Linked DNA regions of Yarrowia lipolytica. The protein of the gene in region 1 interacts with the protein of each later gene in a biochemical or structural test. Links are inferred from orthologs where the notes say so. Each region holds a gene or a part of one and is shown on either strand. Other genes may lie near its edges.

Evidence for each region.
Region 2: the proteins of YALI1_F35938g (region 1) and YALI1_E32636g form a complex in vitro, tested with the Saccharomyces cerevisiae proteins (2 studies listed by BioGRID). The link is inferred for Yarrowia lipolytica from reciprocal best matches to the Saccharomyces cerevisiae genes NUP116 and CEX1.

What each region holds. Positions count from the first base shown.
Region 1 is NC_090775.1:3,592,662-3,596,587, forward strand, and holds the start of YALI1_F35938g (uncharacterized protein), read left to right. Parts: upstream 1-1,156; coding exon 1,157-3,926. Other genes in the region: YALI1_F35907g (uncharacterized protein), read left to right, coding at 1-64. UniProt on the Saccharomyces cerevisiae protein: Functions as a component of the nuclear pore complex (NPC).
Region 2 is NC_090774.1:3,262,745-3,266,565, forward strand, and holds YALI1_E32636g (uncharacterized protein), read left to right. Parts: upstream 1-925; coding exon 926-3,175; downstream 3,176-3,821. Other genes in the region: YALI1_E32664g (uncharacterized protein), read right to left, coding at 3,347-3,723. UniProt on the Saccharomyces cerevisiae protein: Component of the nuclear tRNA export machinery that my collect tRNA from the nuclear tRNA export receptors of the aminoacylation-dependent export and may deliver aminoacylated tRNAs to the translation machinery pathway at the nuclear pore complex.

The DNA.
Region 1 (3,926 bases):
CGCCAGCTGGGTTGAGTATGATCCTTCCAAGAAGACAGTCAAGGAGCGACAGTTGCATATTTAGACAGTAATTCATGACCCAATATTAGAAAAATGAGCCTTTGTTGCGTTTGAAGCGATATTATTGCCTTATCATACGCAGTCTTATGATTATTATTAGTAATCAAATGAAGAATGGAGACTAAAAAAGCCCGACGTGGGGCTTGAACCCACAGCCTTGAGATGACACCTAAGAATAAGAGTCTCACGCTCTACCGATTGAGCTAGCCAGGCATGTTTAACGATATTGAAAAAAGAAAATTGGACGTAGAATACCGTACATTTGATTAGTCAGCTGATTAGAATAAAAAAATTGAGTAATGAATCATCAGAATAAAAAAAAATTGAGCTGTAATGAATCATTAGTTAAAAAAAATATAAAAAAGAAAAAACGAGAAAAGAAAAATGGATCATTAGGATAAACAAAAAGTGTGTAATACATCCAAAGATTAAAAATAAAAAATAAAAAATAAAAAAACATCCCAGAAATCAAAAATGAAAAACCCTGAAAATGTATTTCCGTAGAACAAAATAATTAAGATGTCCTCAGAACAACCATAGGAGCTCTATAACGACGCGTTGCATAAATAGTAGTTGCATAAAGAAAACCAATAACAACGAGTAATACTCATCAAAGAATGCAGGTAAGATAAACACTGCGTTCGCAGAGTACAATATGTACACACACAACCTGACACGTCCTGTTGTTACACATTCCAGCAAGATCAGTTTATGCATGCAACAATACATACAACACAATACATTTAATCGTATACATACATCTGAGAAAAGGTCAACTATTGACAATATTTGTAAGTGGCGAAACCCTACAAAACATGGGACATGATATATGAGCCCCTCAGAAAAGAAACATCGGACAAACAGACTCGTGAGCTCGTTTCTCCACTATTTCAGTAAAATTTAATTTTGTTGCTTGAAACACTTTCAAAGTTGATACTGACTGCTCAAGTTGCTCCTCACACATGCCCAAAGTTGAGTTACCCTACCTGCGAACCACCTCCCAACTCATACAATTTAATGATTTATAGGCAGGAAAAAAAAGGCTGACACAGACTCAACATCACACCAAGATCTCATTGCTCCCGTCTTGAAAGCCATGTTCGGAAGCAGCAACACGACATTTGGCGGCGGCTCGTCGTTCGGTAACAACAACAACTCGTCTGGCGGCGGTCTTTTCGGCAACACCAACAATGCATCTTCTGGAGGCGGAATGTTTGGGGCTAAGCCAGCCACCAGCACTTTTGGTGGCGGTGGATTTGGAGCCTCGAACACCAACACCTCCACCAATGCGTTTGGGGCAGCTTCTTCATCCCCCTTCGGCTCGTCTTCGACCCCTTCTCCTGGTCAATGCCCCGGTACCACTCTTACTCCCTTTCAGCCGTTTACCGACAAGGATACTGCCAACGGAAAGATGATGACCAACATCTACGAGACCATCACCATGATGCCTCAGTATCGCACTTGGTCTCAGGAGGAGCTGCGGCTGGCTGATTACCAACAGGGTAAGCAGTACGGCACTGCTGGCGCCACGGCCACCAACACCTTTGGGGCTGCCAACACCGCTTCTCCCTTTGGATCTTCTTCCAACACCAACAACTCGCCGTTTGGAAACTCTTCCACTTCGGGTGGCAATACTTTTGGTGGCGGGTTCGGCCAGAACAAACCCGCTACTGGGGGCCTGTTTGGAAGCTCCAACACCAACACTGGTGGTGGATTTGGTACCTCGTCCACTTCTGGAGGCTTTGGCTCCAACACCACCAGCAACACTGGTGGATTCGGCGGATTCGGTCAGAACAACAACGCCACTAGCAACACCGGTGCATTTGGGGCTGCCAAGCCCTCGCCCTTTGGTGGTACCTCGTCTTTCGGCAGTGGCAACACTGGTGGAGGCATGTTCGGAAGCACCAACAACACCTCCAACACCACCAGTGGCTTCGGAGGTGGATTCGGACAGAACAACGCTAACACCAACACCACTGGCGGTTTCGGCGGAGGATTTGGCCAGAACAACACCACCAACAACTCTGGCGGAGGTCTGTTCGGTAACAATAACACCACCAACAACACCTCGGGGGGATTTGGCCAGACTTCCACCTCTACTGGCTTCGGTTTCGGTCAGAATAAGCCTGCTACCACCAGTTTCGGCCAGACCAACAACACTGGGGGTGGTCTCTTTGGCAACACCAACACCAACACCAACACCAACACCGGCGGCGGAATGTTTGGCCAGGCTAACAACAATACCTCAGGTGGAGGGCTGTTTGGTCAGAACAATAACACCAACAACAGCGGGGGAGGTCTGTTCGGTCAGACAAACAACACCAACACTACGAATAACGCATTTGGTGCGAACAACAACACTTCTGGAGGAGGCCTGTTTGGACAGAAGCCCGCAACTACCGGTTTCGGAGCAACCAACACAGGCACTACAACCGGCGGAGGACTGTTTGGCAACACTAACAACAACACTAACACCAATACAGGCGGTGGATTGTTCGGCAATAATAACAACACTAACACAAACACTGGTGGAGGTTTCGGAGGGTTTGGCCAGAACAACAACACTGCCAACACTGGGACCACCGGTGGCGGTTTGTTTGGCCAGAACAAACCTGCTACTGGAGGGCTGTTTGGCCAGAACACCACCACTCCTGCCTCGACCGGTACTACTGGAGGAGGCTTCTCGTTTGGCCAGAACAACAACAATGCCTCTTCCAACACTGGAGCCACCGGAGGAGGCCTCTTCGGCCAGAACAAGCCTGCAACCGGCGGTCTTTTCGGAAACAACAGCTCAACCACCACTACCAACACCACTGGCGGAGGGCTGTTTGGAAACAACAACGCCGCCTCCAACACCTCTGCTACCACCGGTGGAGGTCTGTTTGGTGCCAAGCCTGCGACTACTGGAGGAGGTCTGTTTGGCAGCAACAACACCACCAACACCTCCAACACCGGAGGAGGTCTGTTTGGCAACAACAACGCTAACACCAGCAACACTGGCGGTGGATTGTTCGGTAACAATAACGCCAACAATAACGCTAACACCTCTACTGGTGGCGGTCTGTTCGGCAACAACAATGCCATGAATAACAATAACATGAACAACATGGGTGCCAGAAACAACCAGACTCCTTCGCTCACGGCGTCCATTGACCAGAACCCCTACTCGAACAACCCCTTGTTCTCTGGTCAGACTCCTCCTGCTCTGACCTCTTCTGGTTCCAACGGCACTGCCAAGGATCCTCTGACCACCTCTCTAACCTCCAAGAGCGGAGCCAAGAGCGGCAACAACGGCGTATCTTCTGCATCTTACCTTTCGTCGTCTCGACCACTGTTCCAGCCTCGAAAGAAGACGTCTGCCATTGCTTCCGAGCATGTTGCGCACCAGCGAAACTACCCGGAGGACCGGTTTGAGCGAATCTCTCTACCCGAGGTCGCCTCTGCTGGCAACACTTCTGTGTCTAGCGTGGGCAACACATCTATGTCCACGGCCAGCAAGCCTCGCCACTCTCTGTTCTCTCCCAAGACAGATGAGTTCTTGCTGGGGTCGGACGCCTTTGTGCCTCGACGAGAGATCCGAAAGCTGGTCATTGACCGTTCTGGCGACGAGGCTGAGCTGCGACGTCTGACTCAGGGCGAGGACCCTGAGCTGGAGGATCCTCACCAGCACCAAAACGTCCATGATACTCCTTCCAAGGCTCCTCTCAAATCATCTCTCAGTACTCCGAACAGCCAGCAGCGAAAGAAGTCAGTGTCTTTCTCTGCGGCTGGAGACAACTCCGTGTTAAATGGTTTGAACGACCCTGACTCGCTTGAAATGGCTCCCGTTTCTCAGTCAGGAACTCCTTCATTCTTCCCCAAGTCTA
Region 2 (3,821 bases), on another chromosome or scaffold:
TGGGGTGTCTACTTTACTTGTAGCAGAGGATACGGGGCTCTAGCCTTCCAAATGGGTACTGACGGATCTTTTGATCTGATTGTACTAGCGTGAGAGGTTGTTGCTGACCAGAAGAGTTATTGTAACGTTGAAAAGGTAATTCGGCCAGCTGTTTACAATAGGTAGTCTGACCTGGTACAGTATACTCTTCCTCCTAACAATCCTCGAAGTACATGAGAAGAGGCATTGGTAGTCTTCAGAATGACTGGCTACTCATAATTGGGGGTGTCCTATGATGCCTCTACTGTTACTTGTACGAACACAAGTACATACTATGGTTGTGCAAGCAAGACGAAACGCTCTCAAGAACACCACCTGCCTGAATTTGTAACATTTGCGTACAGCACTTGTAGCTACAGCATGATACATACTGGAAGAAAGGGTGTGCAGTCGCTAGTTTAAGATACTACAAGATATTACAACACTAATTTATCATCAATAAAGACGAATCAAATAGAGGGATGTGCTTTCGTTGTTTACTCCCTTGTTTCACCATTTTTTCACTGTTCTTTTGATCATAATATTCAGAAGCTGACTCCACTGTCTGCCTCCTTCTTTTGCCTATTCTGCCTCGCCTTTTACAAGGAACTATTTTTCGCGCCGTGCTCTGCATTAAGTTTGTGCGCGTGTCATTTTGTTTCATTTGGACGGGATGTAGACAAGGCACCAGGAGGGGGATAATAAGAGACTGACAGTAGATAAATATCCATAAAATATATATGAGAACCCGTAGCTCCCATATGTCCGTAGAACAAAAAAAAAACACGTACCATCATCTCTCTAGCTTGCTTCCGCTATCAGGGCTCAGATATGCATAAGATCAGGTGCTCGCGCACACAAGGCAACTTTCATCACCCTACCAGCACAACTACAACCACACCCGACTATGGACTTTCTCACCAAGGCCATTGGCACCGTCTCGTCGTACGGCTCCAAGCTGCCGTTTGTGCTGGGCGACGCGACGCAAAAGGCCAGCGAGGGCAGATCGCTATGGACGGTATATGATGCGACCCTCAAGTCCAATTCTTCCGACTGCACCGTGTTTGAATTTGTCGCTGACCAGACATATCCTCGTGACCGCATTGTTGTTGTCAAACACTTCGCACGGTCGCTCAAAACTTATCGTTTTCCGGGTATTCTCAAGGTCCACGACACGGTTGAAACAGACACTTCGGTACACGTTGTGACTGAAAGATGCAGATCTCTGGCACAGGTGATCCGAGACTCCAAGGACGAGCTATCGGCCGACCGAATTTTGTGGGGACTCTACTTTGTGACCGAAACGCTCAAACAAATCAACGCAGAAGGAGCTTCAACTCACGGCAACATCTCTCTCGACTCCATCTTCATCACAGCTTCTGGAGAATGGAAGGTGGGGGGTCTGGAACTTATCACCGCCCAGAAAGACGCTCAGAGTGCTCTGGCTTCATTTGGACCTCTTCTTCCTAACTCCTCAAACAATGCCCCTCCTGAAATCAAGAACCAAGGATACCAGTCTGCCCAGAGCGCAGCCTCCAAGCTGGCCATTGATTCCTGGCAGTTTGGAAACCTGCTGCAGTCTCTCTACACAGCTGTGGGTGTGGATATGCCTGCTGGAATGCCCGCCATGGTATCTCAGATGACCAGCGTCAAGCCTGAGAAGCGACCTCGTATCCCCAAGTTCCTGGAACAGGCGCAGGTCTCGTTTTTCGGCGACCATGACATGATTTCCGTGTCCCAGGACATCTCTCAGTTCCATATCATTTCCGAACCCATGGAGCGACGCCATGTGCTGGAAACACTTACAAAATTTAGGCAGGCGTTCCCCCCTGCATACCTGGCTTCCAGCGTTATCCCCGAGCTCCTTAGAGCTCTGACTCCACCTACACCGTCGTCATCTCAGATCAACTTGTCCAACGACCCCGGTGTCTTCCAATCTGACTCAGAGAGACCCCAGATTCTCGTATGCATCTTGGCCCTGGCTGAGGGACTGTCTTCCAAGGACTATGCAACTCTGGTGATCCCCACCATCGCCAAGATGTACACTTGTCCCGATAGACCTATTCGAATGGCTCTTCTGGAGGCCCTGCCTTCTTATGCCCCCCATGTGTCCGAGAAGGTGGCCTCTGATCAGATTTTCCCTCAGTTTATCACCGGTTTCTCCGATACATCCCCTCTCATTCGAGAGTCCACTGTAAAGGCTGTGTTGCCGCTGATTCCTCATCTTAATTCCCGAATCAAAAACAACGATCTTCTGCGCTACCTCGCCAAGACTCACAACGACAAGGAGCCCGGTATTCGAACGAACACCACCGTCATTCTCGGCAAGATTGCTGACGAGCTGTCTTCCTCTGCACGAACAGGTATTCTGGTGACTGCGTTTGGTCGAGCTCTCAAGGACCCCTTCGTACACACACGAAACGCTGCTCTTTTGGCATTGGCCTCCAACATGGACATTTTCGATGCGTCCTCCATCGTCAACAAGGTGCTGCCTGCCATTGCTCCTAGTCTCATTGACAACGATCCTGCTATTCGCGCTCAAGCGAAATTGACCTTTGACGAGTTTCTGGCTGAAGTTGTCAAGCATACCTATAATCTGGATGATGATACCGAGATCACTGAGCCTCCTCAGTCGTCAGTTACACTCTTGGCCACCAAACAGAAGGAGAAGGATGCATCCAAGACCGAGGCAGGCTCTGCGTGGTCTCTTTCGTGGTCCTCTCCTTTCACATTTGGTACTAAAACCCAATCCACATCTTCCTCCACTGCCGGAACTCCCGTGGTGGCTCAAGGCACCATCTCTCGACAGGAGTCCCCTGCTCCTATTGTTGACGAAGTTGATTCACTGGCTTCCGCAGCCCGAACCATGTCCATCAAGCCCAAGAGCGGTCTCTCTCTCGGCTCCACCAAGCCCAAGCTTGCTGCTAGTGGCCTAGGTATCAAAAGTACTCTTGCTACAAAGAAACCAGCTGCTCCTCCTACCCTGCAAGACAACGACGGCTGGGGTCTGGATGACAACTGGGACGATGGATCTGACGGCGAGGTGGTCATCAAGGAGGCCCCCAAAACTAAGCCTGCTCCCAAGACCAAGAAGCCTGCCAAACTGGATCTGGATGACGATGAAGATGGAGATGATGATGGCTGGGACAATTGGTAGGACTAATGGTTCATATAGATGATATTGCCGATGACGGGAGTCCGTGAAAATAAGAGTTGAAAAGAGACTCGTGTATGTAAATCTCCACATTATTAATATTGGTTTGTACGCTGTTCGTTCATTTGAAAGTCAATTAATCTATACCATTTTTTCTATGAAGTTTTAGTTAGTCTACCATCGGGAGTTGGAAAGAGGAGCGGAGTTGGAGCCGGTGATGTCGGAACCTCGTCCTCCACCATAGCCACCGCCGCCGTAGCCACCTCGTCGGTAACCACCACGGCCGCCACGGCCGCCTCGACCGCCTCGGCCTCCCCAGCCTCCTCGGCCACCTCGGCCACCGCCCATCTCCTCCAGCTTGGGGTCGATATGCTGCTTGGCCTCTCGCAGGATGACGAGAAGGTCTCGGGCCTGCTTTCGGTTGTCCTCGGTGAAGTAGGTGTAAGCGGTACCCTTGGTGCCGGCTCGACCAGTTCGACCGATTCGGTGGACATAGTCCTCGGAGTTGGAGGGGTAGTCGTAGTTGATAACGAAGTTGATACCCTTGACATCTAGAGTTAGTATTTGGAAGAACAGAATAAATGAATGTGGAAGTTCAACATATGAAGCAAAGGAAAGGATGGTACTACACAAACATGAATAAGTGGCG